Ovis aries: one gene and its partners. The protein of the gene in region 2 interacts with the protein of the main gene of each other region in a pairwise test. Links are inferred from orthologs where the notes say so. Each region holds a gene or a part of one and is shown on either strand. Other genes may lie near its edges.

Region 1 (5,019 bases), on a different chromosome or scaffold from region 2:
AGTGTTGTGGAGGCCACATTCCCTCTTGGATTCATCAGGCTATCACAAGCATCGAAACTAGGCTAGATGCTTAAAACTCCTTCAATGGTCTGCTTATCTCAAATTCTTACAGCATTTGGAATTACAGAGAGTGCTGAAGAGGTCTTTCTTTCTTTTTTTTTAAGATTTTTTGATGTGGAGCATTTTTAAAGCCTTCATTGAATTTGCTACAATCTTGCTTCTGTTTCATGTTTGATTGTTTGTTTTTTCTTATCTGACAGGCACGTAGGAATCTTAGTTCCCTGACCAGGGACAGAACCTGCATGCACCCTTGCATTGGAAGGCGAAGCCTTAACCATTGGATCACCAAGGAAGTGCCCTCACCTTTTTTTTTTTTTTTTTTTAGTATGATGCCTTTCTAAATACCCTAGCTCCACTATTTTTACCCACCGCCTCAGGCATTGTTATAGGAACTACTAGAAGGACAAGAGGCTGGCTCTTCTCTGAATTCACTAGTCTCTGTGTTAAGTGAGTCGACCTTGAGGCTGATGGCTCTCCAGAACACGGTGGCTGGCTTCACCCACTCCCCCTTCCTTGCGGCCTCGACTTCTCGTGCATTCATGCAGCCAGCCGTGTGGTGTCATGGCCAGTGGGGTCATAATCGAGCTTTTAGTGAAAGGAGAGTCCTTGCTGCTTCACTATGCTTGTGCAAAGTATGGTGCCTTGTACTACTCAAGGGAGAAAGAGAAAAGACTGGACTGTGGAGTGCAGAGCCCACGTGTAAAAGCAGGGCTATCAGAAAGATGGGAACACTTGACGACGCGGTATAACCTGGCACAACTCGGGAACCTGTAAGGGCTATGGATCAACAGTACTTGGCATGGGGTGGGTGTTCAAGAAGGTTTTACTGACCAATGAATGGAAAAATGACTTCCCCTGTCAAAAAAAACGTGCAAGCTAGAGTATTCAGACATTCTTACTTCTTGGAAGATTTACTTACTTCTTCGACGGCTTCTTGGAAGCTCCAAGTTCTTATTTTAGGAGCACATAGACACATATTTTGATTGCAATGGAAAAAATTAAATAAGAAGAGAAATCCAGCTGTTGTTCACTCACCTTTTTACTTAGGTGGGGACCGTTAGCGCCCCCAGCGCCTCTCTGCCCTGAGGGTGGCACTTGATACACATCTTGTTCCTGGGTCCCATGGCCGGTGGGGACTTGGTAAATTCCCTGATTTTGGTAGGAAGGCGGCACTTGGTAGATGGTGTCTCGAGGGGCGCCCTGTGGGTTTGGTATTTGATAGAGCTTCTGTTGGCCAAAGGGCGGTGGCCCCAGTCCCGAAGTGGGCAGGTCCTGATTGGAGGAGGTCTCCTGCACTGGGCCAATCAGAAGCTTCACCCGGTTGCCGGGGACAATGCCCTGCCGGCCGTGTAAGGAGCAGAGCCACCATCCCTCCAGTCCTCCTGTGTTCTGCTCAATGACAGTCAGGATGTCTCCCTTGCGGAAAGCCAGCTCCTCGGCACACTCCGGGACATTGTCGTACAAGGCTCGGGCCATAAGATTCTAGGCAGGAAAGAAGAGAGGGGGAACGCAGGTTAGCAGATGAACTGAGTCCCTGAAACACCTAAGCCCGTGCTCTGATGGAGAGGCACACTTCCTGGAAAGAGGAGGATCCAAACAATGGGCTGTAAGGAGAAAAACAGATGGTGCAGACAAAAGACAGATCCATACGTACTGTGTCTGCCACCAATGACATCAGACCGCCTCCTCGGAAAAGCTCGGAACACCACCGAGTGCTGTGTTCCAACAGCAGAGGCTGTGCCAAGGGAATTACGAGGAGCTCGGCAAAGGAGCTGGAGAGCAGTTCACTCTACAAAGCATTTTTCTTCCTTGCTCCAATCCAGCCGAAGGAAGAAAAATATATTCCAAGATATTCAAATGGACTGCAACAGACATTTTTTAAAAGTATATTGGAGGTAAAGAGAGTCAAAGAACATTCCCCCCAGACAAACAGCACAAATGGCGTTTATATCCAGTATTAAAATGGAAACAGAAGTACACTGATCTCTGCCTTGGCAGGCCTTAACAATTCATACTCTCAGTTGATCAAGAGGTCTTCGGATACAGGGAGACTCTACAAGCGGGGGATGTTTCCATGATAATCCTGTGCAGAGTGCAGTGACGGTGGTCCACACCTCCAGACCCGAGCATGCGGAGCTCCAAAGAGGTTACCCCACGTGGGCAGGCAGAGGCCGCCCCGTCCCCTCTGGTACTTTGTTCCCACCTTTCCTGAGGGCCCCTCCTCACCCCGCCACTTTATTTCCTCCTCCTTGAATCTCACCATTCACATCGGAAAGGCTCTGCCTTCCCCTTTCATGGGCCCCAGACACTTTCTCTCTTTGTGTGAAGGCCTGTCTGGCACTTTCAGTACGGAGCAGCCAGCCAAAGCAGGCATTCGGCGGGGAGCGGGTAGGCAGGACATGCCGACGTTCTTGGAAGTCTTTCAAAGGCTGGGCGATTTCATTTCTTGGCATCAGTCACGTCTCGAGGCATGAGGGTAGCCTTCCCCACCCCGATGCCGGCTCCTTCCCAGCACACACAGAGCCCTGGAACGTTGCAAATTCATCTCCAGCCATCGGAAAACTCAAGACGGTCTCTTCAGTGCTTCACTAGACAGTTGGGATGCCCTCGATGTTGGGGTGATGATGATCGGCTGCGGGAGAAAAGACTGCCGATTGGATGGAGTGTGCTCTGATGACATACCCGTGGAATTTGGGGCTGTTGTTGTCTGGATTTCTGCCCCCGTGTTTTCTTCTCTAAAAATGTGAATTTGATCTTTCAGCCTCCTGCTTTTCAGCCCTTCATCACTGACATGCACGCACCATCTCCCCCTGTACTATGCCCCATAACCACAGGTCCTGTGCTGTGGGTCTGTCCCCTGCTCAGTGGTTGGGGAGGTTCCTACTTTTACTCTGTTAACCAAGCTCCTCTGAGTACAGTGCAACAGCTTAACAGGAAAGGAGAGGAGGAAAGGAGATGAAGCCCTGGAATTCAGTGCCCAGGAAGCCTGGTGATGCTCTTTAAGAATAAGACTGCAGTCCTTGTTCTTGACGGTTTTCTGATCCAGGAAGCCTGTAATGTAGACAGGAGGGCAGAAAAGGGAAGTTGAAGGATACTGAGGGGTTTGTGTTCCAGGTGAAAGCTGTACTTGGTATTTATATTCTAGGAAGCTTCGGGTTCCTTCTAACAAAGGTTCACACACAAAAAAATAAAAACACACAGCACTGTAACATGATGTGAGGAACCATTTAAGGATGAGTCCTAACCCGAAAATCTCTTACGTTTCTCTTCTCCCATCTTGTGGGTGATCTGTCCTTGAAAGAAAATTCATTGAGTTGAAGAAGACAAGACTCTTTTCCTCTGTATCTAAATGATGGGAAGGAAATTCAGTCAGTTCAGTTCAGTTCAGTCGCTCAGTCGTGTCCAACTCTTTGTGACCCCATGGACCACAGCATGCCAGGCCTTCCTGTCCATCACCAACTCCCGGAGTTTACTCAGACTCATGTCCATTGAGTTGGTGACGCCATCCAACCATCTCATCCTCTGTTGTCCCCTTCTCCTCTGGACTTCAATCTCTCCCAGCATCAGGGTCTTTTCAAATGAGTCATCTCTTCACATCAGGTGGCCAAAGCTTCAACATCAGTCCTTCCAATGAACATTCAGGACTGATCTCCTTTAGGATGGACTGGTTGGATCTCCTTGCAGTCCAAGGGACTCTGAAGAGTCTTCTCCAACACCACAGTTCAAAAGCATCAATTCTTCTGTGCTCAGCTTTCTTTATAGCCCAGCTCTCACATCCATACGTGACTCCACCAAAACTGTCCTGAGGTGACAGAGCAGGGAGAAGGCTGACCACTCTGGACTCTGTCCCTTTCTCCGAGGCCCATGCAAAGACTGGGAATGGCTGGCAAGGAGGCCCTAATGCCTCCTGACATCAGGAGTGACAGGGTTGGAACCAGATCTATGGGAGTTGAGGGTCCAGAGCTTGATACTGGTGATCAAGAAGGGAAAGAAAAGAAACAGAACAGGGACTTCCCCAGTGGTCCAGTGGATAAGACTCTCCCTTCCAATGCAGGCGGCCTGGTTTCCATTTCTGACTGGGCAACTAAGGTCCCCTATGTTGCTCGTGGCCAAAAATCAAAAACAGAAACAGAGGAGACTAGAAGCGTGAAAGACCACAAGCCTTATTTGCATACATGAGCTCCAGGCATCTGGAGCTGGGCACGGCTGTGGAGCTCTGGGAGGCACTGAAGTGGAGCCACGGGCCACAACCAGCTCGAGGCGGCTAGCAATCCCCGCATGAAGGCTAGTCTAGATGGTCTCTGCCTCTTGCCCCCATGACCCTCCACCACCACCAGCTAAGCCGCACGTTCAGGTTTCTAGACAGGCTGCCAGAGCCGCTTCTCGTGGAAAACCCAGGGAGCCGCTTGTGGACGCACCGTGGGTGTCTTCTGACTAGCTCCTCCTCCGTGCCCACAGAGACTGGGATTCAGGGAGTCCGGTGAGGCTCCCCTGCCAGCCTGGTGCCTCAACACTGAGAGTTCTTCTCAGCCTCGGCCTAACGGGAATAAGTTATTTACCACCTGCATGAGCTACAGGGAGCCAGCAGCCTCACACACAGAGGGGTTACAGCTCCTTCAGAGGACCTTCAGAGGACACTTGGACCCGGCCTCCCTGTTCCACAGATGAGGAAACACATCTGGCAGAGGGGACAGTTAATCATCTGCCCAAGGCCACACCTCGGTGGAGTCAGAGATGGGAACAGAACTGTAGTCTCTTGGCCTTCCAGGCCACCTTAGTTCTAGTTCATACTGTTCTGCAAACTGGGCTCCTTTCCATTTTACAGTAAAGCTTTGAAGACGACGATTCTTTTTGTCATGTCTAGGGAATAAGCCAATTCTTGGGGTTTGGGGTCTTGGCTGTGTGACTTGGGCAGATTACTCCCTTCAACCTTTGCACCAGAACTTCCTCATCTGTAAA
Region 2 (5,019 bases):
AGGCCAGAACTCGGTGACAGGAGGGGAAAGTGAGACACCCCAACTTCCAAGTTCCATCCGCTCTGCCACCGAGCGCTTCTCGCTCCACCGACCCCGGCTCCTGGAGACCTCTAATGGCCCTTGATAGCAAACATAGTTAAAAATTAACAGACTGACAGAATTAAATATGGATGACCAGCCAGCACTGCAGACTTAATCTGACACAGGGTGTTACACGCCTGGGTGCCTTCAACCCGAGTGGCGTCCTGAGTGAACTTCTGGGATGTCTGAGCACATTTCGCATGCCTGTGTGGAAGCGCGAGTTGAGCTGGTGCCGAGGAGAGATGGGGAGAGATCTGAAAAGGCCAGAAGAGAAGCAGATCCCTGAAGGGTTATGTTTAATTAAGCCCGGCCTTGGTTGGTCTGAGTGGGAGGGGTTCACTGGCCTAGGACCTTGCTCTTGGGATCTGGACCTTGTGGCTGCCTGGACTCAGACCTCAGTAGCCTCACACTGTTCAGACCTGGAGAAGGTGCAAGGTCCTTGGGCCTCCTCTCCCCCCGACCCCTACCTGGTCAGGTGGCAAGCTTCAACCTTTGAACCAGTTCACAGAAATCTTGACATTTTTGTCTAGGTAACAATAGCCACTTGCTTAATCGCCCCAGGCAAAGAGTATTGTAAAAGAAATAGTAAGAAATGCTGATTGCAGTTCTGTGTCTTTGTCCTTGGAAAGAGTAGGAGGGGGCGGAGGGGAGACTGGGGGGGTGGTAGGGAATGGTCCTCAATGGGCCTCATCTTGTGGGGTAGAGAAATTCCTGGCAAGTGTTCTGGTTTTGGTGAACGCCTTGTTAGAAATAGGGAAGACTGCTGTTTCACAGAATCCTGTAATTCATCCCATCATGAGGATCATCTTTTTTGTGATTGCGAATCATCACTGGGGTCTGTTGGGTGAGTTTGGACTTCCTTGGACCAGAGGAGGTGTTCGGCTTGGCTGCCTCTCCACAGCCTGCAGCGGAGTTTGCTGTGGGACCTGACCTGTTTATTTGGTGATACCGCTTAAGAGCGGCGCCTCAGAGCCGGAGTCGGTGGGGGCAGAGTTGATCATGAATAAATAGCATATGAGTGGCTAGTGGCTGGTGACCGGTGGCTCGCAGCTGAGAAAGCTCTGGCAGGGTCTTCAGGGCTCTGTGTTGGGGACAGTGGGAGAAACCCGCCTTAAGATCTCCATGCCTTCAAGAGGAGAGAGAGAGCTCGGTTCTGAATGTGGTGCCGGGAAGTCTGCGTCCAGGCCCAGCACCCGCCTTAGGAAAGGGAAGTTGCCGCTGCGACTTGTAGATCAGGCAGCCAGGGAACCAGCTGGTCTGGTGATCGCCTAGCTCTGATTAGTTTCGTTCAAGAGCTGGTTGACACATCAGCATGCCCAGCCTCCCGCCTCCGCCAAATGTCACCACTGGAAGGCACCTTCCAGACCAGCATTTCTCAACACTGTTACGTAGTTTAAAAGATGACGTGATCCGATAAACTTGGGAAGCCCAGGATGAAATCGGGCCAGACAGGTTTGTTTCAGCTTCTCGGAGCCTTTCCCGTACTGACGTGGATCTAGAATCTGCTGAGACGGTGTGTTTTTCTCTTAAACATACTTGACTGCCGAGCGTGACTCGCTTCTTCCGGCTGCCCTTTAGGAAACCTTGTGCTAGAGCAGGGTCTTTCAAAGCTGAGCATGCGTATATGCAGCAGCGTTACCTGGTGGACTTGATAAATGCAGGCGCTTGAGCCCTCCCCCAAACAGTTTCTACATTTCGGACCAGGTGGTCCCAGGTGATGCTGGTGGTCGGGGGACCATGTTCTGAGAACCACTGGTCTAGACTTGTCCCTTGAGTCCACAGAGAAGAAAATCGCTAAACCGAGGGGTGTTTAATAATGGTGGCTCCCAGGAGTTGAACCAGCCACCTAGTAAGCACTTCTCGTGACTGTTTCTAAAGGCAAATGGGATAATGATGGAATTGTGCCTAGGAAGGAAGCCCTTTGGATGCTTTACCGTGTTTGCTCCTCAAAACACTGCAGGAGAGCTCCTGAGCGAGGCAGGGAGCCCCCTCTGGAGCCCAGTCAAGGTCGGCCTATGCTTGGCAACACTGTTTAGGATGTGAAGTCTCTGTACTTGAATCCTCTGGGCCTTACTACCTCATCTGTACATGGAAGAGGATGGATGTTTTATGGGTATCTCCTCCTCTTCTCTAGCACTTTATTTTTGTACTGAGTCATTTCTTCTCTGGCTGCTCTCCTCCTCCTGTCACCAGTCACTGGAGCTGGTATGATGCTGAGGTGGTGGAGACTCCAGGGTTACCCTTGCTGCCCTGGGCAGGAGCGTTCCTCAAGAAGCGTGATGGCGGAACCCCATTGTGACCCCTGGATGGTGAATCGAAACAGGGATGACTGTCAAGTGTCAGGATGAGGCTCTAGTGGAAGCGCCCAGGGTCTTCCATGTCGCTTACTCACATGTCGCAGTCTGCGTGCTGCGTCTAGCCATCTCTGGTGCAGAGCGAGTAGCAGTATCAGTTTGGATCCTATCTGTTATGTTAGAGGATCTTTCAGGGACTTCTGAGGCCCTTGGAATTGCACACAACACGGTGAGCATGCAGTTGTGTACATGAGGTTGAGCACACGTGCATTTTTCTGCTGAACAGGACGGTGGCCTTAGGAGAAAGGTCAGCCATGCTGGATGGTCCCTCGAGCCAGAGTCAGTGAGTCATGGGTTTCCCCAATGTTTATGACACATCTAACTAGCCCCTAGGCGCCAGGCAGGAGTGGCCACAAGTGACCAGGAGCCAGAAACCACAGCAGATCGGCAGTCTTGAGTGGGCGTAAGGATGAACCCTCTGTTTTCTTAGAGGAGAGTGGCGATTAGCACAGAACACTTGTTCCCCCCGGGCTGGCTGCCTGTGCTGGGGTTTTGCCCTGTGAGCTCTGCTGCTGATTTGCCCTCCTTGGGCATGGGGACGTTGCTGATGACAAGCACAGGCTAGGCCAGTTCCTGCTGAAAGGGGGATGGCGTTGCACCCCGTGGAGCTGGAAGGAGGCAGCCTTTGGTTGAAGGGGGCGGCACGGCGGGGAAGGGCCCACCTTCTGGGCATGTGCAAGAGTGGCCACGTCCCAGTGGGTCTCAGGCCCATTGCCCGATCACCTTCCCTGAGGACCAGCCCTTGGGCTGACTGAACCTCTGCTAAGCTGAGCCCGGCTTCTGGCCCCTGGCTTAGCATCTGCCTGCCCATCCCCTGCGGGGTTCTGGTCCCCACCACAGGCAGGTGCCCTGGAGAGTGTGAGGCTGTGTGTGCAGTGGAGAGGCTGGAGCGGATGTGCGGGACGGGGTGAGGGGGGGCGGGTCTCCTTGTCACCGTCACCTGCACCAAAACGGGAGTCATGCCATCCACCCTGCGTCCCCCCTCTCCCCGGGCTCCTGTGAAACACCAGCGCGCCTTGGGCTCCGTGCCCCAGCCCCGCACCTGGGCATCACCGGCCGCCGCCACTGCTCCCCCAACCCCGGTGCACTCGGACCCATCCCCCCTCCACTGTGTGTCTAGGTTCCCAGCCCCCCACCTGCCACGGGGCTGTGCCCCTGCCCCATCCTTTACTACCTGTCTCAGGGAGGCAGCTCCAACTCTGCCCTTTGCTTAGTGAGCAAGTGGATTCAGATGCACAAAGCCGTAAGCCATGGGTAGGTATGAGTTTTTTCTTTTGTGTCTCTCCCTTCTGCCTTCTCCCCCTCCTCTACCCTCCCTCTCTCCCTTCTGCCCCTGCCTCCCACATTTCCCCCCCTCTCTCTCCCCCTTCTTTGTTCTGCACCCCCTAAATTCCCCATGAGACATGTTTTTAGCCTTCCTGCATGAGAAGGTTTGATCTGTGTCCCCTTCATTGCTATGAGTATTGAAAAGACTCTGGTTCAGTCCTAAAAGAGTTTCAGTACCAGCTAGTGGCCCCCCGAGGAATACAGCTTTGCCCTCCTGATACAGGGGCTCCACTTTGGCTGGTAAACCGTTTCTAGTCATATGTGATGTTCTGCCCTGGCAGGTCTCTAAGGCACAGCCGGCCCAAGGGCTTCCATGAAACGGAGTCCTGGTGTTAGGCAGAAGCTCCATATACACCCTTGGTATATGGAGTGAGCGAGGCCAGACTGCTTTGCTCCAGGAGGGGATGGTGTCCGCCAGTGTGGCCCCTCACCATAGAAGGGACACAGTCACTCTGTGAAGGATGCCTGTGGGGTCGAAGGGAGCTCTGCAGACTTCTGCATGTGACCCATGGGGAAAGGCCAGGGTCAGCCCAGCTTGTAGAATCTAGTTAGATCTGGAGGAGCCCGAGCCCTGGATCCTGACCCAGCCCCGGGCCCACTGAGCTCTGACCATGGTGGACACCACTCAAAATACCCAGCCCTCGGCTGATTTCCCCACCTGTACCTATCAGGTGAGAGGAGGTAGAAGGTCTCCAGGCCCTCTGCACCTCTGGCTCAGCCAGAGGGCTGCTTCATCTGTTCACGCTTTGGAGATACAAATAAGATGGCTGTGAAAAAGGGGTTCTGCTGGCAGATTTGATTTTATTAAGCCACGGAAGTTGGCTTGCCAGAGTAAAGATCCCCCTAGCATCGCATTCCACTCCAGAAATGAACTCCCATGAACCGAAATAAAGAGCCGTCTTTCTCCTGCCGTGCTGGGGAAGGGTACCACCTCTGGGTCCTCTGCTGGCAGCCTCCACCTTTGCTGTAATTTGCCCGCCTTCCCCCAACCCCAGAGCTGCCTCCTGTGTTGCTCAGGGGCTGGTGGGGAGTATAAACAGAAGCAGCGGTAAACGGGGATTTCTCATCTCTCGCCTCTGTCCAAATGCTTAGGGTCAAAGCCCACGATGCCAATAGATGGACGTCTATTCAAGCCGAAGGGCACTTGCCCTTTTGTTATTTTCACGTTTTCCTCAGTACAGGATAGAGAACATTCTGCCAAGCGTACCCAGCATCACAGTCCATTTGTAGGTTGGGCTGGCCTTGCATTCTGGAAACC
Region 3 (3,724 bases), on a different chromosome or scaffold from region 2:
GCACCAGGAGGTGGGGGTGGGGGCCCTGCAGCCCAGCTGATAGGCATTCTTCCATGTGCGCACGTGAATGCACGCAGGGCTCAGGTGGCTCTGGTGGCTGGCAGAGGTCTGGTTTGTTTTCAGGACCGTCCAGCACATAGGGCCAGGCAGAGGGTGGTGACCTTGAGGCCACCTGGACCTGCAGAGCCCTGCCTGGGAGAAAGAGGAAGGGTGTAAGCAGATGATTGGGGCAGGAGGATGGCATCCTCTCCTCCCAAGTGCTTAGGTTAAAAGGGAAGAGGAGTGGGGGCTGGGACTGCAGAGCCTGAGGGGCACCTACCTCTGAGGAGCACCGGTTGACCTGGGCTGCTCACAGATGGGTCTGTGGAGAGACTGAGAAGGGGGCTTTGGCTGGGCCTGACGCTGGCCAGCCCTACAGGGACATCACAAAGTTGGGAGAAGGGCCTGGAGTTGCGGGGATGAGGGTAAGGTGTCCGTTGGGGAGCCAGCGGCCCAGCCTGGTACAGGCAGGCTGGTTTGGAAGAGCATTTGTCCTGGGAGGCTGGGCTCAGACAGAGCTTTCATCCAGGTGCTCTACGAGCTGTGTGTGCTTCCTCTTCTCCAGGATGCGGCTGAGCTCCTCCGCAAAAGAGCAGGGCCCCACCGGCACTCCATTGTTGCTCTGCCTCAGGAGCACGTAGCTGTTGCCATTCATCCTGCGCAGCCGGCTGGGCAGCGTCACCAGCCCATTGGTCAGCTCAGTTGGTGGCGGTGGGGGGGGTGGTGGCGGCGGGGCTGGGGTTCCCTCTCCGGGGATGATCTGGAGGCAGCCACCCTCCAGGCCCCCAGCCCCTTCTCCATCATCACCGTCATCTTCCTCTCCAGGACACTGGCCTGAGACTGTCTGCAACTGCACAGCAGAGCCCCCTGCCCGGCCAGCCCGACCCAGTGAGTATTTTCGACGGTGCCCTTGTCCGCCTCCCCGAAGACAGGCCACGTAGAAGAGGGAGGAAGCCAGGATGAGGCAGAGGCCACCAAGTGCAGCAATGGCTAACACGTAGAGCAGCCGCACATCCGGTGCCAGCTGTGCCCCAGGCATGGCAGGGGCTTGTGGAGCAGGCGCTGGAGTGGCTGGCCGCACTGTGAGGCTGTAGGAGGCCAGCAGGGTGCGGAGGCCGTTCTCTTCAGCATAGCAGCCGTAGCTGCCACTGTGCTCAGGCTGCGTGTCTGTTACCAGCAGCCCATCCACACCCACGCGGTAGCCATCCTGCCCATCGCTCAGGCCCATGCTCCCATTGAGCAGCCACAAGGCCCGGGCCAGGTTGGATGGCTGGTCACAGGGCAATAGGACATCATCACCCCGAAGCACAGAACGGGTCTTCAGTGGTGGTGGTGGCCCTGGAGGGAGCAAGGGACAGGAGAATGTGGTCAGTGCCTGCTTATCCTGGGAGGCACTGGAGATGGCAAGCCAGGTGGTTCACTGTTAGGTCCCCAGCACCACACACAGAATCTAGAGTTGCAGGACTAAGCCCTCTGTGCTCATGCTCCCACGCAAGGTTCAGTTGGCCCATCTCAGTGGTTTCAGTTCCTGACATCTACCAGTGATTCCTCATTTCTGTCTCCAACAAAGAGTTTTCTACTGAGCGTAGACTTGACTTTCTTCTACGTGCCATACATCTCTTGGACATGTCACAGGAACTGAGGCCAAAAGCTCCCTCTTAGATGACACTGGGTATTTTTCTTGAATTGTCATCACCAGTTGTATGGCACCACCAGCCATTTCCCAGAAACCTGAGTTTCCCTTGTCTCTTTCTCCCCTTCACCTTTGTATCTAACCCTCACTAAGATTCTGCTTCCAGAATCTTTCTCAGACCTGTTCACGTCTCTCCTTCCCCAGCTGCTGGCCCTCACCTAATCCATTCTTTACGCAGCAGTGGGCTGACCTTTTAAAAACACTAAACTAAAAAAAGAAAATGAATAGGATATATTAAATGCAGAGTGAGAAAAATAATAAAGTCAAATCTGTGTTTTAAATTAATAAATAAATAAATAAATAAATAAAATACACTAAACTGATGATCCCATCCCCCTGCCTCGGCACAGTCCTGCCCATCTCTCCAGCCTCTTCTCTCATTCAAACACCAAGCTTGCTCTTCCCTCTACTTGGGTGTCGTCCCCTTCCTCGTGCCCTGTATTAGCCAGGTTAACTCCGAGGAGAAAGCGTAACAGTGAACAAAAGCACAGATTCCAATCAGCCTGCTTGGGGTTAGGCTCATTTGAGCCTACTGCTTAAGAGCTGATCAATTTGGGGTAGTTTACTTATTCTCTCTGTTACTCGGAGAGATTGCCTCTCATGGAGATGGTAATAATGGCACCTGTCTCATAGGAATGCTCTGAGAACAAAGGAAATGCGTGTGTTTGATCAGTGCTTGCCACATGGTAAATCCTCGGTACATATTAGCTATGATTATTATGATTATTGCTCTTGCTTCAGATATCAGCTCAGTCATCTGATCTTCCTTGGGGAAGAACCTATTATCTCTCAAACCCTTGTCATAGTTGTAATTGTTTCTTTTGTATCAAAAAAGCCAAAGAAAAGAGTTGTAATTTATTGTGTGATCATTTAATTGCCTGTGCACATACTTGGCTGTAAGCTCCAGAAGTGAGGAAAAACTTCACATCTTGAACCTGTTTGCATATTTATAGCTTTTCGTTTTGCAACAAATGTTTGTTGAATACTTACTCTCTGCTCGGTCATTCTCACTGAAAGCACAGAGTCATTCAGATACATATATGCACATACAGATGGCATCAGATGGTAAAGGGGACAGACTGCTGCCAGACCCACACACGGCCATGATGGCACTTACCTGTGACCCTGCTGCCCTCGCAGCCTCGGTTTCCTCTCTCGATGTCCTGTATGAGTGCTGTCCTGGAGACAGAGGATTGGGATTCAAGAACAAGGGAAATGGCTGTAGTTTGCCCAGTGGAAGGGTCAGTAAAGCTGTTACTAACAACTGGACCCTACTCCCTCAGCTGGCAGGCCCTCCTTCACCCCTTAGGCCCTGATTCCCGGGGCAAATGGGACCCTCGAACCGCCCCCCCCCAACCCCCATGCCTCTCACCTGCTACTTTGGGACCTGTTGGCTACGGTGGTGGTCACCATGCAGGCATGGGTGCTGGGGTCCCAGCCACAGTAGGGGTCTCGGGCCAGGATGCAGTCATAGCAGGAGCGGTAGCGGGAGCAGCTGGACAGTGGTAGCTGGATGATGCCACTTGGTGCCCCCACATAGAGGCTATGCTAGGAGTCAGAGAGAACAGCTGGTTGGCAGCACCTCACTCCCACTTACAGACACACACACACATACACACACACACACACACACACACACACACACACAGCCAGTGTCCAGCCTCCCACCTCCCTCTGTCTACTCTGGCAAGACCAGAATATTGAGGGTCATGAGTCAGGAGCTACCTGCATCGGAGAGATGACCAGGTTCTCCACAGACTGGGGCTCCTTGAACACCTGTGTCTCTTCAATAATGTGCATCCCAGAGCCCAGGACCACAGCCTTGTGGATCCAGCCATCAGCTGGTATGGGAATGGCAGAAGGTCAGACTCCCAGCAGTGGAAGCTACTCTCAGCCCCCTGCAATAAATAGCCTAACGGGAACAGCTTGGAGTCCTGAGGTCAGGGACAAGGATTCAGCCAGTAGCAGTGGGTTCTCCCGAGATTGGAAACT

What was found. The genes of interacting proteins can lie anywhere in the genome.
Region 1: the proteins of RBPMS (region 2) and NEDD9 interact in binary tests that used the Homo sapiens proteins (3 or more experiments, as listed by UniProt). The two-hybrid records come from large-scale screens. The link is inferred for Ovis aries from reciprocal best matches to the Homo sapiens genes RBPMS and NEDD9.
Region 3: the proteins of RBPMS (region 2) and SEMA4G interact in binary tests that used the Homo sapiens proteins (3 or more experiments, as listed by UniProt). The two-hybrid records come from large-scale screens. The link is inferred for Ovis aries from reciprocal best matches to the Homo sapiens genes RBPMS and SEMA4G.

The regions. Positions count from the first base shown.
Region 1 is NC_056073.1:44,300,721-44,305,739, reverse strand, and holds part of NEDD9 (enhancer of filamentation 1), read right to left. Parts: exon of another isoform or gene 2,324-5,019; coding exon of another isoform or gene 2,321-2,323; intron 1,543-2,320; coding exon 1,096-1,542; intron 1-1,095. UniProt on the Homo sapiens protein: Scaffolding protein which plays a central coordinating role for tyrosine-kinase-based signaling related to cell adhesion. As a focal adhesion protein, plays a role in embryonic fibroblast migration.
Region 2 is NC_056079.1:25,813,672-25,818,690, forward strand, and holds part of RBPMS (RNA-binding protein with multiple splicing), read left to right. Parts: intron 1-3,555; coding exon 3,556-3,689; intron 3,690-5,019.
Region 3 is NC_056075.1:21,582,367-21,586,090, reverse strand, and holds part of SEMA4G (semaphorin-4G), read right to left. Parts: intron 3,574-3,724; coding exon 3,458-3,573; intron 3,281-3,457; coding exon 3,105-3,280; intron 2,912-3,104; coding exon 2,850-2,911; intron 1,378-2,849; coding exon 548-1,377; 3' UTR 1-547. UniProt on the Homo sapiens protein: Cell surface receptor for PLXNB2. May play a role in axon guidance.